Sus scrofa: one gene and its partners. The protein of the gene in region 2 binds, or shares a complex with, the protein of the main gene of each other region. Links are inferred from orthologs where the notes say so. Each region holds a gene or a part of one and is shown on either strand. Other genes may lie near its edges.

What was found. The genes of interacting proteins can lie anywhere in the genome.
Region 1: NUP214 (region 2) and CETN3 share a complex: the UniProt entries of both Homo sapiens proteins name them as parts of the nuclear pore complex. The link is inferred for Sus scrofa from reciprocal best matches to the Homo sapiens genes NUP214 and CETN3.
Region 3: NUP214 (region 2) and NUP107 share a complex: the UniProt entries of both Homo sapiens proteins name them as parts of the nuclear pore complex. The link is inferred for Sus scrofa from reciprocal best matches to the Homo sapiens genes NUP214 and NUP107.

What each region holds. Positions count from the first base shown.
Region 1 is NC_010444.4:97,588,205-97,596,054, reverse strand, and holds the start of CETN3 (centrin-3), read left to right. Parts: upstream 1-2,734; 5' UTR 2,735-2,856; coding exon 2,857-2,873; intron 2,874-4,671; coding exon 4,672-4,807; intron 4,808-6,358; coding exon 6,359-6,473; intron 6,474-7,850. UniProt on the Homo sapiens protein: Plays a fundamental role in microtubule-organizing center structure and function. As a component of the TREX-2 complex, involved in the export of mRNAs to the cytoplasm through the nuclear pores.
Region 2 is NC_010443.5:271,202,852-271,209,602, reverse strand, and holds part of NUP214 (nuclear pore complex protein Nup214), read right to left. Parts: intron 3,339-6,751; coding exon 3,167-3,338; intron 1,355-3,166; coding exon 1,215-1,354; exon of another isoform or gene 110-1,214; coding exon 85-109; intron 1-84. UniProt on the Homo sapiens protein: Part of the nuclear pore complex. Has a critical role in nucleocytoplasmic transport.
Region 3 is NC_010447.5:32,986,703-32,994,776, reverse strand, and holds the start of NUP107 (nuclear pore complex protein Nup107), read right to left. Parts: upstream 5,117-8,074; 5' UTR 4,883-5,116; coding exon 4,875-4,882; intron 2,896-4,874; coding exon 2,804-2,895; intron 1,985-2,803; coding exon 1,898-1,984; coding exon of another isoform or gene 1,897-1,897; intron 1,301-1,896; coding exon of another isoform or gene 1,274-1,300; coding exon 1,158-1,273; intron 1-1,157. UniProt on the Homo sapiens protein: Plays a role in the nuclear pore complex (NPC) assembly and/or maintenance. Required for the assembly of peripheral proteins into the NPC. May anchor NUP62 to the NPC. Involved in nephrogenesis.

The DNA of each region.
Region 1 (7,850 bases), on a different chromosome or scaffold from region 2:
GGCTGTGGCTGTGGCCAGCAGCAACAGCTCCGATTTGACCCCTAGCCTGGGAACCTCCATATGCCACGGGTGCGGTGCTACAAAAGACAAAAAAAAAAAAAAGAATTTTTAAAACTCACTCATAAGTCTGAGTCAGCTGAATGCCTTTTTATTTTGTGATACAGAACTCTGGCATCATTTTTTAAAGTCCTGTCTACAGTTATTAACCTAATTTAGTTTTCTACCTTCTTTGAGTCTTTATCTCCGTTTTCCTTGAAAAGTGACTATTTCATTTTGGTATTAATATTTGTTGAAAATATAGAGCTGTATAAAATATTTTAATAATTTTTAACTCTCTCTTAAACTACTACCCTTATTAGTGGCAATATTCCCTTTCTTGTTACACTTCCTTAACTCTGCCATTTTTATTGGTACTGCCAAAAACCAGTTTATTATTACAGTATGAGAATATTATACCAATTTATTAAACAATTTTCTTTTTAAAACCTGTTTTCTAATTCCTTTGTTGTTGTTCTTTTATCTTTAGTAAAAGTTGTTTTATCTTTAGTTCTTCCTAACTTCAAATAATTTTGATCACTTGTAAAAATATTCAAATAAATGTTTTTCTTATTTTTGTTTTTATCTAATAATAAAATAATTTTTCCCTATAGCTTAGTCTATATCTTACAATTTTAATATATAGTTTTTTCCCTGTCATTACATTATTGTATGTAATTATGTAATTGCAATATTAGTGTCCTTTTACACTCAAATGTGATTTATAAAAGTACCTTAAAATTTAAAGTTTTCTACTTATTTGGGGGGAGGAGCTATTAATTTTTAGCTTTATTCCATTATACCACTGTGAACTGGAGTTTGGCACTTGCTGTCTACCTCTACATGCATTAAATCATGAGCCACTGCAGCTGCCAACCAGCAGTGGAGTGGAGCTCAGGGCAGAGACCAGAAGTGAGGCACTCTGTGCTCTGGGAAAACCAGAAGAACAGATCTTCAGACAGTCAAACGTTTTTAGGAAAAGATTTTATGTGCCCAATTCTTGCATCTCCTCATATCAAGCAAAACACTGAAATCCTTCATGGTGATGTCTGCTTCTAATGACTAGTAGTAACCTTCATGAGGCCAGTAGCAAATTTTTGTAAACTGTATGCATGACTGCATGCACCTCCCCCTTTACCTTTATCACCAGTTATATCCTGGTATTTCCCCTTTCCTCTCTGAGGCTATATTTATTAGAGCTGTGTGAATGCAGCCACCTCCAAGGCTAAGCTGCTGAGCCCTGAGGGAACTCAGGAAAGAAAGAATACCTGTCACTTTGCAGCCATCAGACTACAGCCACTCCTAACAGCAAAGTGTGAGGAAATTTAGGCTGTGAAAACACGGGATACTGGCCCAGATAGCTAAAGTGCATATCAAAGGAATGATTTTAGTGAGGCCAGACCTCTGGGTCTTCCCAAAGAAAAGGGCTTAATTCTGTAACTTGAGATACCTAGTTTTCGGTAATCTTTTGTTCCTACTACCTGCCCTTTGTTCAAAAAACAACAACAACAAAAAAAAACCCAAAACCCCAATGACAATAAAAAACTTCCTCTATATCCTTATTCCCCCCTACTCCCGCTGCAGAATGTTTTTTTCTGGGTTACTTCAGATGTTTCCTCCTGGGCTTAAGACCTGATTTTGCCCCAAACAAAACTTAACTTTTAGGTTGTGCATTTTTTTTTTTTTTAAGTCAACACATTCTTTACTTATCTAAATTTAGTTCAAACTTCTAGGCCTAACATAAATGCCATCTCCTTCAAGAAGTCTTTCTTCTATCCTGCTGTGTTCTTTCCCTTCTATATATATCTTCCCCCTTCCCCTGTTGGACACTCTCAGGCTATTTTATGAGATTTGCAGTTTAGCTCAGTACTTTGTGAGTTTCCATAGCAAGATTCCATTCAATACAGCAATATTTATTGAGCACCTCTGCATCAGACATTGTACTAGGCCTTAGGAATAGCGTTAAATGAAACCCCGGCCTTCAAGATTAGTAGGAGAGACGAACAGGTAAACACATTAAATACCCCAGTGAGCTTCAAGAGACTTGGTTCGGTAGTGAAGTACCAAAGCACCTCAAAGGAGGTATAGGGGAGCAATTGCCATCTAGGCACAGCTTCACCGTAAATAGCCTAATAATTCAACCCAGTGATTATAAAGGTATAATTAACAGCTCCTGCCTCAGAATCATTTGGATTTTGTAAGGAAAAAGAAAAAAGGCAGATTCACATCTACTAGAATCAGAATGAAGGAAAGTGACACTTAAATCTGAGTTTTAAACAAACTCCCCATGTATTTAAATCATCCAAAATTTAAGAATAGAGTGGAGCCAAATTTCGCAGATCTCATTCACAAGCTACTTCCTCCTCCTAGCAGGACAACCTGCGGGGTGTCTCTTCCCTTCCTGCGCCGTTTCCAGACGTCGTCCACATGCCGCAGGCCTTCTCTCCTGAGGCTTTGGTCAGTCACCCTCAGTCCGAAAAGCCCAGCGGACACTCAGACCCTCGCTCCGCAAAGGATTGGAGGGGGTGGGGGCTACGCTACAGGTCAACCTAAAAGGCGGGAGGGGCAGCAAGAGAGCCGAAAGGGAGAGCTCTTTGATTGACGCGAAAAATGCCCAATGAGAGAAGAGGACTAGTGACGCTTCCGCCCTAATGGGCAAGGCATTAGCTATTTCAACCAATCCAGCTCAGAAATGTCTACCTTGTGGGAGGTCTTGAGGCTGCTTAGGTCGTTGTCTGTTGAACCGCTTGTGGAAGTCGTTCGGCTTTGAGTAGGGGGTTAAAGTCGTTCTCGAGAGGAAAGTCTCTGGCCGAAGAGAAAATGAGTTTAGCTCTGAGGTCGGTAATGAGGAGGCGGCAATGCTCTCCACACCACGCAGCGGGCCCCAGGGTGGGTGTGTGTGGAAGGGAGGCAGCTTGGGGCGAGGCAAGGAAGGGAATGCAGTTTGGGACGAGGGAAGGGAGCCTTGGCCACCTTTCCTGGGCCAGACTCCTCATCTTCGGGGCCCGGGTGAGCTCCGTGCAGTTAGACGGTCATTTCTGTCAGGCCACTGGGCTTTGGACCCCAACAACCTGGGTTGTTATAGTCTCGAGGAGGCAGTGAAATATCGCGAGGTTTCTACGCTCTTGTTTATGTGAACTAGGAAACCAGGCCTTGGAGCATCCTTAGTAAAGTTCCCGTCATTCCTTCGCTTATGGCCTCCACCGCAGCTCCCTTCCTGCTAACATCTAACCCGTAGATTTTAGAAATAACGTAAAGCCCTCCTTGCTTCACTATGTAATAGTAGACCCATTTTAGTGCTTTTAGTTGGTAATCTCTTAGATTCCCTGAGTTTATTTTTCGCTCATTTCCAACCACTAACCTACCATTTGTTGCCTACTTCCCAACTCCGACTAGGCGTGTTACCGTAAAAATACCTATAGAGTTACACCTAACTAAAAAGGTACCGAGTTCTGATAAGGCATAATCGTGGTATCCTTGGCTGGGGTCAGTGGTCGGTGGTTTGCGAACTTGTCCTCTCAAAATCTTGGGAAAAGAATGGCCGACCCCCAGAACGTCCAGGCTTGTGTGAAGTGGGGTCTCCTGTGAAAGCAAGATCTACCTCAGCTTTATCATATCTCTTTTGGTCACTTTCTAGTCATCTCTTGCCTTTTGTGTGTGTGTGTGTGTGTGTGTGTGGTAGATTTCAGAGAACAAAGCAACTTAAAATGCAAACAGATAACGTGTCTAATAAAATCAACTGGGTTTTTACATTTTCTAAGTTTTACAGAATTCTTCTGCTTCAAACTTGCAACCCTATTTGAAAATTTGGAACATCTCAAGATATTTCTGGCTTTTACAATAAATTCCTTTTTTTCTTCAGCCTTTTTCAGGGTTTATGAAAAATTAAATCCAAATGTATATGTTAAGTGAGATTTACAAGACAGTTGACTCCACATTATTATATAGCGTTAGCACAAATATGTACTTTTCTGGTGTTTAATAGTATGCTTAGGCTAAGTTTTTTGGGTGATTGTTAATAATATCAGTGGGAGAAATTGCAAATAAAATGCCAAACTTAAAAATGTGTAATCTAAAAACACTTTTGATCCACAATGCCAAAAGAGTTTATGTTAATTGATGAGTTAGATGTCTTTTTGTAGTAATTTTGATAGTTATTAACACTATAAAAGTAAGCCTAATATGTAGTGATCATCAATTGTGAATTCTTTTTTTTTTTTTTAACAGACATTGTAAAACGAGTAACTATGGGTGCTTTGTTTTTTTGGGGGGGTTCTGATATAAAACTAATGTTTCTTATTCACATTTCTTGTTTCTTCCATAGTAATATTAGTGGAAATAAATAAAAAGCCAGGAGGAAGGGAAGTAAGGTCCTCATTTCTTTAATAACTTAACACTTTTCAGTTTTAGGAAGCACAAGTTTATAGCACCTTAGTCGATGGGAAGAGCAGGGCTTTGACTCATGTAAGGAAAATCTCTTCCTTTCATGTAAGGAAAATACTTCCTTTTTAGAAATTTAGGTATTTATTAATTGGCTAATTTTTTGTATTTTTGGATTCTTATTTGAGTCATTTAGAAGCATAGGAGAATGGGATTAAAGTGCAATAAATAGGGTTTTCTGTCTTCATTTCATAGAAATGAGCTTGTAGTAGACAAAACAAAAAGGAAAAAAAGAAGAGAACTCTCTGAAGAACAGAAACAAGAAATTAAAGATGCTTTTGAACTATTTGACACGGACAAAGATGAAGCAATAGATTACCATGAATTAAAGGTAATATACTCGACCTCTATCTGTTAAAATGATTTGCATATTGACAGTTGATTAAAAATATATTTATAAATATTTTAATTTGGTTTTGGAAATATGAAATCATTTTAAACATTTACCATTAAGTGCTTTTAATAAAATTGAATAGTACTTGTAGCATATCTTTTTAGAAACTCCTTCTCATATGGTAAAATGAATAGTATAATGTAAAAATACATTCCTATGGAGGGGCTTATTTTTCATTCACGTAGTTAAAAAAAATAAAGCTATGGTATTTAAACTATACTTACCGTATTCCTCTTCCCACTTTGGTGTTTCTTCTTTTTTGGTGACATATTTTTCAGATTGAGGGAGTGTTACTCGTTTTTTAATTTGAACATGTTGGTAACAGTCTCATCCTGTTTTCTCTGGTGCAGGAAACATAAGTGATATCTGATGTTGACACAATGCTAATGGGGAAAGTGTCAATTTTAGGTTCTAGAAATATTTATAAAGAATCAAAGGGGAATTGGTATTTAAGGTAGGTTGGATCTTACACTCAGCACAATGAGGAAGATAGTATTCTTATAGCTCTGTACTCACAGTTTCTTTTAGTTACCCAGTTTTGATCAATTCTTTTTTTTAATAATGTTTCTTCTATTTGTTGCTATTGTTATTATATTGGTTTGGGATCTTAATTCATATCTGAAACTTCCTAATTGGTTTCTCTTTTTCCTGTACACTCTCATTAAATTCATCTTTCTAAAATTCTTTCATCATATTATTCATTGCTCATAAGCTTTATTTTGTATACTCCGTAAAGTTCACATTTTTAAAAATTTTTATTGAATGCCCTCCACACTTTTGCTACGACCTACTTTTTTTCTCATTTGCTAACTGTTTTCTTCTACCTAATCTCTTCCTATTCAGGTAAGGTGAACTGCTCTATTCCCTGTCTTCAAGCTTATTCTTTATTTTAGTGTGTATTTTAATACTAGTCATTTTTTTCTAAATGCCCTTCTGCTCTACTTCATTCGTGCACCATTTAAGGAACAACTATAATCTTCTAAATTAGACTTCTTTAACCATCTCTTATTACTTGTAACTAGTATCTAGATCTCTTCTTTCTCTAAGCTCAGGGTCCTAGATTACTTACTTGATAACTAGTCATAGAGAATCTGATGAAAATTCTTATTTTAATTTTTTAATCTCTTCTTCTGTATAACTTTTTAATATTTATATTATACCTTCTTTCCATTTTGATTGTTAATAGTTTGAAAATGAATAAGCCATTAAAATTATCTTTCACAAAAGTCAGTGCATTGTATAGTGTATTGTCTAAACTCATTGATTAGTTTGTCATATTAAAAAAGGGATATATAGATGAAAAAATTGCCATCTAATTTTAGTACTGAAGAAAAACTATCACTATTATTTTAGAGACATAAAATATGCGAAAGAATATATGTTTTATTGATGTATTGTAACTTTTAAGTACTAAAAACTTATTTGAGAATGGGAAATCACTTTTGTAAAAAATGCATTATAATTTGCTTTTCTCTTTTAATCCAAAAGGTGGCAATGAGAGCCTTGGGGTTTGATGTAAAAAAAGCTGATATACTGAAGATTCTTAAAGATTATGACAGAGAAGCCACGGGGAAAATCACCTTTGAAGATTTTAATGAAGTTGGTGTGTATTTTAATAGTCTTTGTAATCATCAATTGTTAGAAAATTACCTAACTATTTTAAAAATTCTCTCGGTTGTGGAATTTTGTTACCGAGTATATATGATATGGATCTTAATTTTGGGTTTTTTTTTGGTATTTTTTGCTGATTTTCAAAGAAAAAAATAAGATTTATTGCTTCATTGTAAATGGGATTTATCATTTTGTCTTTTGTTCTGTTCTGAAGATTTTAACCAAGGAACTATTGTATAGCTTCTTATGGAAGGATATCTTTCCATGTAATGTGTGCCTATATTTTGTGATAAAACTAAAAAAAATCATCAAAAAATTATTTTCTTGGAATTCCCTCATGGCTCAGTGGTAAGGAACCCAAGTTCCTGTCATGGTTCAGTGGTAAGGAACCTGACTAGTATCCATGAGGACACCAGTTTGATCCCTGGACTCGCTTACTGCGTCAAGGATCTGGAATTGAGGTGAGCTGTGATGTAGGTTGCAGATGTGGTTCGGATCCTGAGTTGCTCCGGCTATGGTGTAGGCCAGCAGCTACAGCTCCGATTCAACCCTTAGCCTGATTCAACCCTTAGCCTGAGAACTTCCATCTGCTGTGGGCGTCGCCCTAAAAAGACAAAAAAAAAAAATTATTTTGTTACAGTAAAAGGTAAAATATGGTATTTTTGTTTGGAAAATATTTCCTGAGACCATTCTTAAATATGATTTTTGTTGGCACAGTGAGAGGAGAGGAAATTGGCACCAGTTGGTATCTTTGGCTGTTGATGAAGTTCCTGCCCTCAGGTTTACAGAGCTTGTGAGGGGCTGCCTACCCTGGATGACCTTGATCTCAGAGAATAATGTCATCTCTTTAAAGCTGCAGGTGGGGAGAAGATTGTAGTAAGGGAGATAGTTGACAGACTGGGAACAGGAGAAAACATTTTAGAACAACTGACTGGGTCATAATATAAGCATAATTTAGTTATTTTTACATATTTAAAAAATCTAGAAAAAATTTATATGCACATATGCACATGAACTGTTTTAAATAGTCAGTAAGTAATACAGAAAAACAGAAAGAAATGGCAATTAGAATATGTGGAAAAAATAGATTTATTCGTAATTTTCTTCTAATCTGAAAATTCAAATGAGGACATGAGGAAAAGGGAAATTAAAGAATAAACCCAAACAAGAAAAAAAGCACAGTACAGAAGATCCCCCAGTTTGTGAACTAATAGATGACTAAATATTTAGAGAGGCAGCTTCTCCCTTTGGGGATCATATCCTTTTTTTCCCTCTAATTTGTAGAATTATTTACTTGAGAGAGAGAGTCACCTTTATTTTCCCAGTATGGAAGCTTTTCTGGGGTTTATAAACTTACTTCAAATTTCAA
Region 2 (6,751 bases):
CACGCAGAGCAAAACCCAGCATTTTCACATATCAACACTCCTGCATCCTTATTTAAATGACGCAAAACTGGGAAAGATACTTACGAGCTAGACGATCCAAAGCTGAAACCTGAAAAAGAGGGAGAGGGGGCCGTTAAGCCACACGTACGTTTGAAAGACAAAGGTGGTCTCCAGGCCACGTTCTTCCCCGTGCGTTTCCCCAGGGAAAGCCCTGCTCCTCCGGCCGCGCGGGAAGGGCCGTGGCCTTCTGGGTATTGCAGGGTCCTCCCTCCTCCCCGACCGGCGTGGGCAGAGGGCCTTCGGCACGGCCCCCTCCCTGCCGCACCCACCACACAGGTCCCCCGCGTTAAGAAAGCGTGGTTGCTCCTCCCCCTACTTTCCCATCCACCCGCCTCCTCCTCGTCTGAGGCCAGAGCAGCAAGACACTCGGGTTCTAGTTTTCGTCTTTTGTCTTTTGAGGGCCGCACCTGAGGCACGTAGAAGTTCCCAGGCTGGGGGTCGAATCGGAGCTACAGCTGCTGGCCTAACCACAGCCACAGCAACACGGGATGCGAGCCGCGTCTGCGACCCACACCACAGCTCACGGCAACGCCGGATCCTCAACCCACTGAGCGAGGCCAGGGATGGAACCCAAGTGCTCACGGGCACCAGTCGGATTCGTTTCCGCTGTGCCACGGCGGGAAGTCCCAAGACACTTGGGTTCTAGACCTCGCTCTGCTGCTCACTGTCTGTCGCCCTGGAGTTTCTGGATCTTTGTTTGTAAAACAGTAACGAGGCCTATAACTTCTGTGTCTCACATGTATTGTAAGGAAAACAGCAGACCGTATATATCCTACTGTGTGCAGTGGAGTGTCAAACAGACGAATGACGTTTGGTAAAGTATGTGTTGTTTTTATTTTTCTGTATCTTATTTCTTGAGTCTGCTGGCTTAGATTTTTACATCAAGATCTAGTAGGATGGTTACTTTTTGGGAATCCTCAAATCCTGAGAGAAACATCAAGTGAGCCATCTCATTATTCGATAAGAAACGGCATGTTCCAAGTCTAATCAAAACCTTAAAAGAACACGCTGTCTTCCAAGCACCTTCAGCCTTTCACATACTGGACTGAACGGCCAGGAAAGGCCCCCCTTCTTTGGGAAGGGTTGGGGGCCAGGCGGGCATTTACCGAGGAAACCAGGAGGGCCCCTGTGCGGGAAGCTGTCTGGCCGCCTACCTCCTCCGCCTGATCCAAAGCCGGAGAACCCCCCGCTCTGGGTCCCAAACCCAGAAGACTGTTGGGACAGGGAGCCAAAAGTTGGAGCGTTCTGACTCGCCAGGGTGCCGAAGGACGTGGTGTTGCCGCCGCTTCCAAACCTGGGTTGGGGTGAGAGAGCAGACCGTGTCAGCGAGGCCACGGGGCCCCCCGCTGCCCAATGGCCTCAGTCCGTCCTCCTGAGTCCTGAGAGGCACGACACACACGATTCGAGGTGACGGGCTCGGCTTAATCTGGCAGCCTCTCAGGGAAAACAGGCTAGAGCCCGGCGCAAACCTTCCCCTCCGCTTTGGGGGAAATACAGTCTGAGGACCCCTGGTCCAGTGTTTCAGTCTCCATCTGACTGTCTGGAAATTCCAGGTCACTGGTCCTGCTCTAATCCCACTCCTGCCTCGGGCCTCTCTCATCCAACCGTGGGGACTCCTCAGATGCCAGCCGGGTCAGCGACGGCGTCACAGCCCGGGACCTGAAGAAAGGTGACGGCTCTTTTGGGGATTCCGACCAGAGCTGGCGCCAGGGAGCCAGCCAGTCAGGATGTACATGGGAGAGTAGCCTCCCTGGTCAAGGCAGAGCATGATCCTTTCTTACCAGTGAAGAAAACAGCTGGTTTCAAATAAACAAACAAACCCTCGAGATTCCCAGTCAGCTGCAGCATCACGGGCTGGGCGGTCACTGGCGAGACGAGTGTCCGTCAGAACTGCCAAGAATACTGGCTTAAAGGGATCCCAACCCTCCCTTGAAAGCGTTCCTTAAGTCTTGGGGTTTCCTGACTTCCTGGGAGCAACTCAAAAGACCCATCAGTCTCCATGCAAAATCCAAAAAGTAGGACTTGCTCGCGTTCCTCGAGCCTCTCCAGCGCTTCTGAGCCAGCATCTTCCACGGGGGGAATGGCCATGAATAAGGACCACCTAAGGTTTTTTTTTGGCTGTGCCCGTGGCACAGAGAAGTTCCACAGCAGTGACTACACAGGATCCTTAACCCGGCGAGCCACTGGGGAGCTCCAGGACCACTTAAGTTTATTTTCAAGACAAAGGTGCTATCGCCTCACCAACACGCAACCCAAGCACCCTGCCAGGTCTCCCCAACGCTTCAGCTTTACACGTCCTGGGCCAGTGCGGAGGCCACCGGAGGCCCCTCTGACGTGGATTTCAGACATTACTACCTCCTCTGAACGGGCCTCTTTGAGGCCATCAGCACGTATGTTTTAGTGGGGCTGTGGGCTATGTTCTCCTTGGGGTTTTGGTAAGCAGACAATTGCTAGGGCCCTTAACAGCAAGTCTCTAGAATGGCATTTTCAAGTGAGGCCATGCACAGGCAGTCTGAGCAGCTTCAAAGGCTGAGCAGTCCTGAGACTGCGAAACGCGTGCGGGGTCTCGGTGCCGCCTGCTGTGGAAGCTGGCCCAGGGGCTGCGGGCCCAATCCCTGCCCTGCGCGGCTGCAGTGGCGCAGGGGACACAAGGCCTGGTTGGCTCAAGGACAGAGGGTCTTCTGCACAACAACCCCGAGAGGAAAGAATCTGGTGAAAACGATTCATTCGGAATTTCCTATCAGAAGTCATCACACAAGGGTCAGTCCGGGCTGGAGCCAGCCACGGTGAGACGGATTTTCTTCCTGTAACCAATCCTCCGGCTCCACCCGGAGACCAGGCATCCACCAACCAGCACCCTCTGTACCGAGGGACGGCCACACAGCTGATGGGATCGTGTACTCGACAGAGCCTGGCTTGGCAGAAACGGGCCTGCCGCTAGGAAGAACAGGAATCCTAGAGCGCCTGGTTGGCTGATTTGGACGGAGGGGCTTTCAGCTCAGTCAAAAGTAGAGAAAACAGAACTTTCCAAAACAGGAGCACCGGGCCCTGGTGCTTTGCTGACCTGAGCTTGAGGGCTTCCCCAGGCCTCTCCCGGGGGGCTTACCCGAATCCTCCCGCGCTGGCGGCCGCTGTACCCTCTCCGAACACTTTGCCTCCCGTCGAGCCCAGAGGGCTTGTAAAGGCTGGGGCTGAACCGAATGCTGGCACCCCTCCAAACCCAGGGGATCCCCCAAAAGTAGGAGGGCTGCCAAACACTGGAGCAGCACCGAAGCCACCTGAGCAAAACAGAGGCAAACAGAAATAGGGAGAAAGAAAGAAGACAGGAAGAGAAGACAGTGAGCAGTGAGAAACCAAAAGAGGAAGGGAAAAAAGGGAAAAAAACATTAGAAAGTCAAATACAAAAAAGTATAGCAAAGGACAATACCCCTTCTCCAGCAAAATAATAAAACCACCCCGGATGCCAAACCATGACCACCCACCCTCCACAGCCAGCAGAGGGGTCTGGGGTCCACTTAGGAGAGCTCCCTGGAATTCTGAGAATCTAGCAGACCCTAGACGTCTGGGAGACCCCCGGTCCCTCCCAGAGGCAAGCTGGACACGTCAGCGCCACGTCTCCCTGGAGAATCTGAATGCCACCAAGAACCACCTTGGTGCATGTCAGACCCCTGCCCAGCCCCTCTGCATGTTCTGGGCTCCTCAGTGAAAACCCTCAAGACTCCAATCCCCACCCAGCTGTCAGAGGCCGCATCTCATTACTTAGCACCGTGCAGGCTGGGCGCCTGCTCCAGGGAGACACAGACTCTGAAACTGGAGGCTGAGACCCCGCTTCAGGGAGAATCTGGGAGCTGCGTTAGTGGAGAGGCATGGCCCTGGCGCCCGGCCAGGCGCTTTTGACTAATTTAGAGCCGCCTGGCTCTCGCATCTCTCCCTGGAGTCTCTCTCCCATACGGAAGAATTTTTTTAAACGCTCTCTCTGCGCAGTAAGGGACGACTCCTCAATCAAGAGGCACACGGTGCCTGGAGGAGGGCTGCTGCAGGAACGCGAGAAAGCGATCCATCAGCCGCGAGGGGAGCCCCGCATCCAAGACCCCCCCCACCCCCGGGTGGGCTCCGGGGCCCCCGGCGCAGGAAGGGTCAGGCCTGCGCGGGGTGGCCTCCCTGACTGGTGGAGGCCCACGAGGCAGGAAGAGCGGCTCCGTCTTCTGCTCCGGAAAGCGGGTCCCCAGGCCCCGAGCTGCTGCTTACATCATTCCTGGCCATTAGTACGGACACTCTATCACATTCTAGACTCTCCCTACATATTATACAGAGCAAGTGTCAACTGAACAGCACGGGGCAGAATGGACCAAGAAATGTGCTCTCAAGGACTGTGCTGCTGACAATGACGACTGGCCTAGGAGCTCTGGGGGCGATGGTGGCCTGGGCACAGCCACCAGGGGACTTGCCCAGGGACAGGGGACCTCATTCAGGCCCCTTTCAGAAAGCGAATCCTGCTGTTAGAGGGCCACTCAGGCCTTCTTACTCCAGGTATAACCACAGCCTGAGCTTCTGCCTCTGAATCGGAAAGATCAAATACTGGATATGAAAGGCTGTCCGTGGGATCCCTTCGCTCGCTGCTACCTGGGGTTCAATCGTTTGCCCATTTGCCTTTAGCAGCAGAAGCACAGACGAGATGGTACCTCCTGTGAGGCTCCTGTCTGGGTTTACACTCTGCGCTTTAAACCCTGAGTGAAATTCCAAGCCGTGGCGACGGAGGCCGCTGGGTTACAACTGTAACAGACTGGAAAAAAGAAAGTGCTAAAAACCCTTGCCGTTGAATTATTTAGGACGGACGACAGATCTGGTTACACTTTCTTCCTGGACCCACAGGCTTTACCTAGTGCCCAGTACTCAATACTGCTCCGAGTTCTCGGTAGAAGGTGAGTGAAAAGTGAGAAGTCGCAATGATACAGACCGTAAACCGGACAGGGGAGGGGAGGGGACACACGCGTGCACACGACACACCACAGCTGCCTATTCTCATGATTTCCTTCTCCAGAAGAAACAGGAATTTAGGAGTCATCACTGATGGTAACACTTCTGAGGTCTGGTTTACTGAGGGCCCTCCAGGGGCCAGCGGCCAGGGGCTGGACAGCAGTTTGCCTAAGGAACCCTGCATCCCTATGTCTCAGGTGAAGAAAATGAGGCTCACAGAACATGCCCCTTGTCGCAGCTGGGCCAGCTCGTAGGTGGCAGAGCTGGGCCTGGGACAAGGTCTCTGTGACTCAAAAGGCCGCCCATCATCTACCCACTACGTGCCAGGCTGCCACCCTGCACTGCCAGCAATGCCCGAGACAGAGCGATGCGGTGACCCGGGGGCGGCAGTAAGCTTGTCTGGAGGCTGTCCCGCCTGCGGGCCTCTCCTCCAGTAATGCCAGGAGGAGCATCTCCTGATGCAACTGCGCTCAAGGGACCAAGGAAGCTATTGGAATTATTTCAGAGACCAATGCAAACCATCAACCTAAAATCCCTTGAGTCTTCAATCAAGGTGATTTCATGGGGCAAGTATCAAACAGGAAAAGAAAATTCTCAAAGGTGAGAGGCCTGAAAAAATAAGAGGGGCAAGTTCTCCATTCAATCGGAACATGAGCCCAGGATAAGGAACAATGTAAAAGAAGAACACAAGAATCAGAGAAAACATTACCAGTTTCCTCAAAAAATAAATTCAGGAGTTCCTGTCAGGCTCAGCGGTTCACAAACCTGACCAGTATCCATGAGGATGTGGGTTTGATCCCTGGCCTCACTTAGTGGGTTAAGGACCCGGAGCTGCCGTGAGCTGTGGGGTGTAGGTCGCAGACGCGGCCTGGATCTGGCGTGGCTGTGACGGAGGCTGGCAGCTGTAGCTCTGATTCGACCCCTGGCCTGAGACCCTTCACATGCCTCGGGTACGGCCCTAAAAAAGACAAAAAATTAATTAAATTAAAAATTATTAAATAAATTCAAAAATTTCGATGATTAATAAGCTGCAACTTCTTAGTCAAATAATGTTGCCTTGTTAACTAGAACCAAAAGGTTCGTGGCCCTTTCATTCGAAAATCAACACTGCAGAAAGGGTGGGGTCGAAGTAAAGGTGTACTGTTCACGTCTAGTTCATTTTCAATTCTACGAAAGCGTATCAAAACCAGCACCCAAAGACGAAGCCACCCCGGGTTAGGGTCCGAGTGAAGGTCACAGTGCATTTGGAAACCACAGCGATTCAGGTTCTAAAAGGTGGGATTCCAGGTACTAATTTGGGGCAGCCCTGCTCCTCAGTCACAGCCACCTGGACACCTGCTCCTAGGGCGGGAGCCTTGCTCTGGAATCGTCAGACTCAGAGTCGCCCCCACACACAAGGGAGAAGCATCCCGCCCACTTACCTGTGGGCGTGTGCTTTAGAGAACTACTTTCTCAGCACACATCCGCCCCCTCTGCCTTAACAAAACTTGTCATGCAATTTTCCACACAACCAGGGCAGGCATGCAGACCCTGTGTAGGTCCCAGAGACAGAGATAGGATGGACGGGCAGTGGACAGAAAAGAAGGACGTTTTCGCTGCGTAAACATGTTTGTTCTTTAACATTTTTCATTATAAGTGTAATAACACATGCTTATAAAAGGCCACACAGTTTATAAATGTATGCTCTCGAAGAAGCACTGGGATAAAAAGTGCT
Region 3 (8,074 bases), on a different chromosome or scaffold from region 2:
ATTTTTTTCTTTTTCCATAGGGTTTTTTTTTTTGTGTGTGTGTGTACTTTCTCAGGGCCAAAAATGTGTCATATGGAAGTTCCCAGGTTAAGGGTCAAATTGGAGCTACAGCTGCCAGCCTATGCCACAGTCACAGCCACAGCCACAGCCATGCAGGATCCAAGCCTTGTCTGCAACCTACACCACAGCTCACGGCAACGCCGGATCCTTAACCCACTGAGCAAGGCCAGGGACCGAACCCACAACCTCATGGTTCCTAGTTGGATTCGTTAACCACTGCGCCACGACGGGAACTCCTCTTTTCTTTCTTTTAATGCCGTCTCTCTTCCTTATGAGAGTCTTCATTGATTACCCTTGGCTTTCTCCACATCTGTGCTTCAAAACAGGGCTCAGTTTTTATAGCCACAGGCAACCAATCCGAACTTATTTTTTCTGATCAGCAAACACACACACATATTTAATCTGCTTCTAACTGTTGCTGGTGTCACAGCTTCCACTTAAGACATGAGATGCTTAAGGGTTTCAGTTTTCTCAAAGTCTAACCCCAAAATTATTTTAATCCACATAACGTAGTTACTTTTATGCTAAGACTTTAATTCTCATTAAAAGCTTTTAAGCTTTAAATATTATACTTTTATAAAAATGGAGAGGCGTTCCCACTGTGGTGCAATAGGTCAAGAATCTCACTGCAGCAGCTCAGGACTCTGTGGAGGTGTGACTTTGGTCCCCAGCCCAGAGCAGTGGATTAAAGGATCCCATGTTGCCACAGCTACAGCCTAGGTCATGGCTGTGGCTTGGATTCAATCCCTGGCCCAGGAACTTCCATATGCTGCATGTGCAGCCATTAAAAAAAAAAAAAAAAAAAAAAAAGGAGAAAATTTCAGCCCCATTTTTTTTTTTTTTTAGGGCTGCACCCACGGCATATGGAAGTTTCCAGGCTAGGGGTCAAAAAAGAGCTGTAGTTGCCCGGCCTAAGCCACAGCCACAGAAACTCGGAATCTGAACCACGTCTGTGACCTACATTGCAGCTCATAGCAATGCTGGATCCTTAACCCACTGGGTGGAGCCAGGGATCGAGCCCACATCCTCACGGATACTAGTGGGGTTCATTACCGCTGAGCCACAACAAGAACTCCCAGCCCTATTTTTATACATACCATAGACAGATTTCCCAAGAACCCAGAAGACTGTGTAAGCCGGGGAGACCTCCCTCCAGTTCCAAAAATGCTGGAAGCATCTGGTTGCCTTAGTAAGCTTCGGTTTGGTGGAGTAACTACAAGCAAGAGGTTAGTAAAAAGAATTCAAAGTGCATGAGCATCGATCATGAAAACATGAAAAAACAGAGAATAAATAATTTCCATTTTTCAATTACTTAGATTCTAACCAAATGAATAACTTTCAATATTAACATTTCCATGATATGAATATTTAACTTATTTTTCTAAATACCCAAACTTTTGGTATTACTGAAACTACCAGGAAAAAATTATTACTGCAAACAGAGATGCTTTCATTACAACATAACTTAGCATTAATGAAGGACACTAAGGAGCCCATGACTTTGTCGAAGCATACGACAACTACAGTCTAGAGGGGAAAGATGTGGAGTAAGCAGATTACAGTTTGAATTTTGGTCCCATTACTTACATACTAAGTAGCTATGTTATTTGTAGGAATCAGTTTCTCTAAGTCTCACTTTCAGTTTTGGCAAAACAAAGATAATACCATGTCATAGTTATTATGTATCTATGTAAGTACAGTGTCTCACACATGGTAAGAGTTCAACAAAGAGTAACTGCAATCATTATTTGTTCTTAATTATTGATACTGTAGCCAAAGAGAATGAGATGCTATTATTATTATTATTATTAAATGCCTTAAAAGCAAAACAACTTACAAGGTGGTCGAAATGAGCTGGGAGTTCGGGGAATAACCTGGTTTCTTGGTGTAGTATTAGTAAAAATTTCATCTTGGGATGCCCGAACTATAGGAAAAAGTTAAGTAAAGTTTTCCATGTAGAAAAGACACCATTAAAGTTGGAATGAACCATATTTAGACTAAACAAAGTATGTAAATTACAATTTTTAAGAACATGCTATTTTATGGCTAACATTGTTCCTGTGCAAAGAACAAACAATTCCCTTTCCCATTTAAATTCATAGTTATGAGTCTTAGATTTCTACACATTGAACTAAGAGATTTCAAATAATAAAAAAACAATCTAGGAGTTCCCGTCGTGGCATAGTGGTTAACAAATCTGACTAGGAACCATGAGGTTGAGGGTTCGGTCCCTGCCCTTGCTCAGTGGGTTAATGATCCGGCGTTGCCGTGAGCTGTTGGTGTAGGTCTCAGAAGTGGCTCGGATCCCGCGTTGCTGTGGCTCTGGTGTAGGCTGGCGGCTACAGCTCTGATTCGACCCCTAGCCTGGGAACCTCCATATGCCACAGAAGCGGCCCTAGAAATGGCAAAAAGACAAAAAATAAAATAAAATAAATTTTTAAAAATTAAAAAATAAAAATAAAAAATAAAAAAACAATCTAATTTCAGCAGAAGTTAATCACAATATGATAGCAGTAGAATGGAACATTCCTATTTTCAGGGAAATATGAATTCCACTGAATTTCAGCATTATATTTACCAAATAACATATGTGGGGAGTTAAAGAAACAAAACCAAACCTATTTTCCACAGCATTTTATTACTATAGCTAGTGCTTAATATCTCTCATAAAAATAAAATTCTATTAATTCTAATTCCAAACAAGTTGCAATTTTTATTCTGATGCTTAAAATGCAAAGGATACTTAAAACTCTTTTTTGGGCACTCTGTTTGCGTGCAGTCCGAGTCACCTCTGCCTCCCGGATCACAGGGGATAACATCTCTCCAAAGCCACTCCTAAAATTGCATAATCAAGTTCATGTGAATGAAATGAGAATGTAGTATTTGCAAAAACACATTATCGTCATGATTGGAGCAAAAGACCCTGAGTCAGTCAAGGTGTAGATCACCTCAGTAGCCAAGTCTTTGATTTTTTTTTTCTTTTTGGTCAGGCCTGGGACATGTGGAAGTTCCCAAGATAGGGATCAAACTCGTGCCAAAACAGAAACAATGCTGGATCTTCAATGCACTGCCCCACAAGACAATTCTCAAGTCTTTGATATTTGTGTTGACAATACCCTTCTGGCTCCAAATCCTGCTTATCCTTCAGAGTCCTGCTCATATTTTACTTGTAAAAAGACTTCTTTGACTTTCTAGCACTTGTTATTTTCTCCTACGGAATTATTAACACTTGGAATCTAATCTAGATTATAACACTGTTTTAGATAATTGCGATCGTCGTACAACTATAAATGTAAAATAATTCATTGAGTAGTAAAAAATAAATTAGCAATAAAATATCTAAAACAGTGATCAAAACTTTAAAAAAAAAGATAATTGCTTCATGAAGGTAAATCTTTTTTTTTTCTTTTTTTTTTTTAGGTAAATCTTTTCTTATTGGCTTGAGGAGGTCCCTAAAATTGAAGGAACTATCTCTTAAAGGGATTTTCTGTTGTCTCTAGAATACTCCAAACCATGGGTACAACTATTTGAGCTGGTGACTTGGGAGGCTAAGTGAAAAAGAATTCTAGTAAAGTGGAGAGAATGACCCTTCGAGTTATTTCTCCCCAGAGTACACTAAGAGTACAGCGCTACTGTAGTCACAACGCCCCTGTCATTCTCCACCCAAAGTCTAAAAATATTGTGCGAATTATGAGACCTGTATCTTAAGACTCTAATATGCATTTCCTCTACTTAAAATCTTCAGATAGCTATCTGTGGCCTACAGAATCAAATTCAAACTTTCAAGCACAGTTTTTACAATTTGATTCCAGCTTACCAGTTCAGGCTTATATTCAGCCACAAACATCACTCCCATACAAAGCTACAGTGAATGTGACCATTCAACTATCCTTTCATATCCTTACACTTTTGTACGTATTATTTCTCTTACAGAGGCCTACATTTGTCTCCTTGGTCTACCTGGTGAATATTTACTTATCAAACAGCCTCCTGGAGTCTGGACACACACAGATCTAGGTTGGTGTCTTGGTTCTCTTATCTGTTAGCTTCCTAACTTTGACCAAGTTCCTTAACCTCTTTTAGCCCCAGTGCTACCTATGAAAAGAGGATCGCAGTAACTATCCTCATAGGATTGTTAGGGAGATTAGCTAATAAAACATTTAAAGCGTACTCATTGTAGGCTAATGTTATTCAAAGACCAACTAGAAAGTTATCTCCTTTGAGAGGTCTTCCGCATACCTTCCAGGACAGGGAGACTTCCGTGCTCCCTCATTTCTCTTCCCAAAGAGCAGTACCAAAAACACCACTTTGTACCGCTCGGTTGTCTCCTCCACTACGCATTCTCCAAGGCCAAAAAGCTTAAATAACTCATCTTTGTCGCAGGTGCCTAGCATAGAGCCAGTGTCACAGAAAGAACTCAATACAGTTAACTATGTGATGCTGCAACTTGTAATGAGAAGGTCTGGGCTGAGATCCCAGTTCCGTCACTGACTGGCTTTGTGATCTCCGGCAGGTAATAGCATCTCGAAGGCCGGGCCACCTCCTACCCCGCCCACCCCAGGAGGGAAAACTGTTGCGCGAAAGTGAACAGATGGTGGAGTCAAGCGGAAACGCAGGGGATTATCATTATCCTTATCCCTCCCAGACCTAGGCAGCCTTTCTTCCATCAGCTGTAGTCCCCCAGCCCAGAAAAGAAGTCCCGGGTCAGCATCCGGGCCTTCCTCGGTTTCCTCCGGGAGTCGGGTTTCACCCATTTCGTTCCTCCAACGGGGAGAGACAAGTGTCCGAGCCCAGCCGTCATCACCAGAACTAACCTGTCCATGGCCACGGCCTTTTCCAACGAGAAGCTTATAAACTCAGATCCAACCTAGCCGCCGCGTTTCGGCCTTCCCGCTCTCCGGAAGCAAACCCTTTGACCCGGAAGCATAGCCTCGCTAAGCCGCTGTAGGAAAAGAGTTGAGTAGCGGGCGGGGAGAAAAAAAAAAAAAACAAAAAACCAGCTCTCCCCTTTGGCGCATGCGCAATTTCTTTTTGCCAGGGGCAGGCGGTTCGGTTTGCGCAGGCGCAAAGGTGTATCTTGTGGTCGACCCAGCCGGGCTCAGCCGGGCAGGGCCAGGGGCGGGGCAGGAGGCGGGACCTGACCGGGTTTAGTGGCGCTGCTCGGCCGCCCCTTTGCCTGATTGGCATTTGTGGGCGTGGTCCAGAAGTAGGGTTCTCCTACTGGGATACTTGACTTGTATTGATAGTTCAGAAAAACGTGAAGTCATTTCCTGGTATTCTCTACGAGAAACAGCCCAGATTTGGAATTGAGATGTGCAGGCTCTGCTCTACACCTCGGGGGTCCGTGTCTCTCTCTTCTTGTACTCATTTTGTTTGAACTGTAGTGTAAACCCCCTACAGGTTTTGAAATTGTTTTCTACAATGGCTATTTGTTCTTCACTTGCTATTTTTCCCCATTAAAGAAAAAAGAATCACTTGTCTTAAAAAGCATGAAAGATGATGGTATTGCCTTCTATTTCAAAGTGCCGGATAGGCAAAAGGTAATATATTCTGGCCCTGAATCAGTGGAAGTTTGGCGAAAGGCATTTACATTATGCTCTAATCCTGGGAAACGTAGTTCCCAGGAAGACGTCTTCATACCTAATTCCCGCTGAGACGACGTGGGGTTTTAAGAAAACGTGGCTTTGGGCTCCAGCTAGGCTCAGAACCCCTGAGCCGCATATTTCTCATCTGTGGAAAGGAGATAACGCCTTTATCACTGAGTTCTTGGGAGGATTAAGAAGCGATGTCCAATGTGCATTGCATACAGCACTCATCGAAATGTTAATTTTCTCCTCTTCCAATAACAGCTTGATCCCCCCCACCAAGTGCTCTCTTGTTTTTTTTCCATCTATGAATTTCCTTGTACAAAAGAGCATTTGTTCTTTTATGGAAACTGAAATGTGGTCTTAATGGTTTTTGGTCAGGGCCAGAGGCAGGTTTATTCAAACTATGAACCAGTGTTTCAGGTTCTTGCTTTGTGTCCTCTGGCAAATGAATTCCAATGTTTGTTTGTGTGTTTAATTTTTAGTTGATTTACAACGTGCCAATCTCTACTATGCAGCAAAGTGACCCAGTCATACATACATATATATTCTTTTTCTTATATTAATCTTCCATCATGGTCTATCCCAAGAGATTGGATATAGTTCCCTGAGTTATACAGTAGGATCTCATCCAATATGTTTTATTCATATAATATACTTGAAGTGTGTAAGGCACACAATAAAAGGGAAGAGCAGTTTGGGGCATTAACTCGGTGTTTAATTCAAGTGAAAAGAGAGAATACTTGTGGAAAAGTGCGCTGAGGTTCATTTTGACATGATTACCAAGCATAAACACCTTACTACCCTTAAATGTATCAAGATATATTCATTTTATTGCCTTAGAATTATGTGCAATGAATTCCTTGTGTGATGCATATCATACACATTCTAGCTTTAATATTAGGGTTCTTCTTTTCAGTGACAGAAATTCACTAGGGCTAACTTAAGCAAAGGGAAATTGACTAGAAGCCCATCACTGAGCTCATGGAATTAAGAAGCTGGTGGGAAAAGCTTGGGAAAGCAGACTTGTTCAGGAACTAAAGACCGGGGATTTAGCCATCCCCAAAGCACTCAGACTTGAACTACTGGATTTGGAGGAACTTTTCCTCTCCCTCACCCCTAACAGCTGAGGAAATCAAACATCATTATGTTTTTCCTCCTCCACGACATTTATTTTTATTTATTTAACCTCTTTTTAGGACCGCGCCTGCGGCATATGTAACTTCCCAGGCTACGGATAGAATCAGAGCTACCCCTGCCAACCTATGCCACAGCCACAGCAATGCCAGATCCAAGCCGCATCTGCTCAGGGCAACACCGGATGGATCCTTATCCCACTGATCGAGGCCAGGGATTGAACCTGTGTCCTCATAGATACTAGTCAGGTTCTTACCACTGAGCCGCGACAGAAGTCTTCCACTCCTTTTTTTTTTTTTTTTTTTTTTTTTTTTTTGCCTTTTCTAGGGCCGCTCCTGCGGCATATGGAGGTTCCCAGGCAGGAGTCTAATCGGAGCCGTAGCCACCGGCCTATGCCAGAGCCACAGCAACGCGGGATCCAAGCTGCATCTGCAACCTACACCACAGCTCACGGCAATGCCGAATCCTTAACCCAGTGAAGGAGGCCAGGGATCAAACCTGCGTCCTCATGGAGCCTAGTCGGGTTTGTTAACTGCTGAGCCACGATGGAAACTCCTTATAGTAAACATTTTAAAAAACATTTCAGGAAGCAGGTTTTTTTGTTTTGTTTTGTTTTGTTTTTTAACGTCCCTTCTCAGTCACACTTCTGTTTGGTATATTATAAATAGCTGGTTAGCGGTTTTCTTAGTATAGATCCAGCAGATGTAACTATGACAGAAAGATAAGAAAATAGAGGCAAATGGAGAAAATTAAAGAATTCTATGATCCCATTAACTATATCTGACCACAACCACATGAGAGACTGTCATCAAAAATCATCTGAGGAGTTCCCGTCGTGGCGCAGTGGTTAACGAATCCAACTAGGAACCATGAGGTTGCGGGTTCGGTCCCTGCCCTTGCTCAGTGGGTTAACGATCCGGCGTTGCCATGAGCTGTGGTGTAGGTTGCAGATGCGGCTCGGATCCCACGTTGCTGTGGCTCTGGCGTAGGCCGGTGGCTACAGCTCAGATTCAACCCCTAGCCTGGGAACCTCCATATGCCGAGGGAGCGGCCCAAGAACCAAGAGACAGCAACAATAACAACAACAAAAAGACAAAAAAAGACAAAAAAAAAAAAAAAATCATCTGAGGAGTTCTCGTCACGGCACAGCGGAAATTAATCCGATTAGGAACCATGAGGTTGCAGGTTCAATCCCTAGCCTCACTCAGTGGGTTAAGGATCTGGCGTTGCTGTAGCTGTGGTATAGGCTGGCAGCTGTAGCTCCGATCAACCCCTAGTCTGGGAACCTCCAT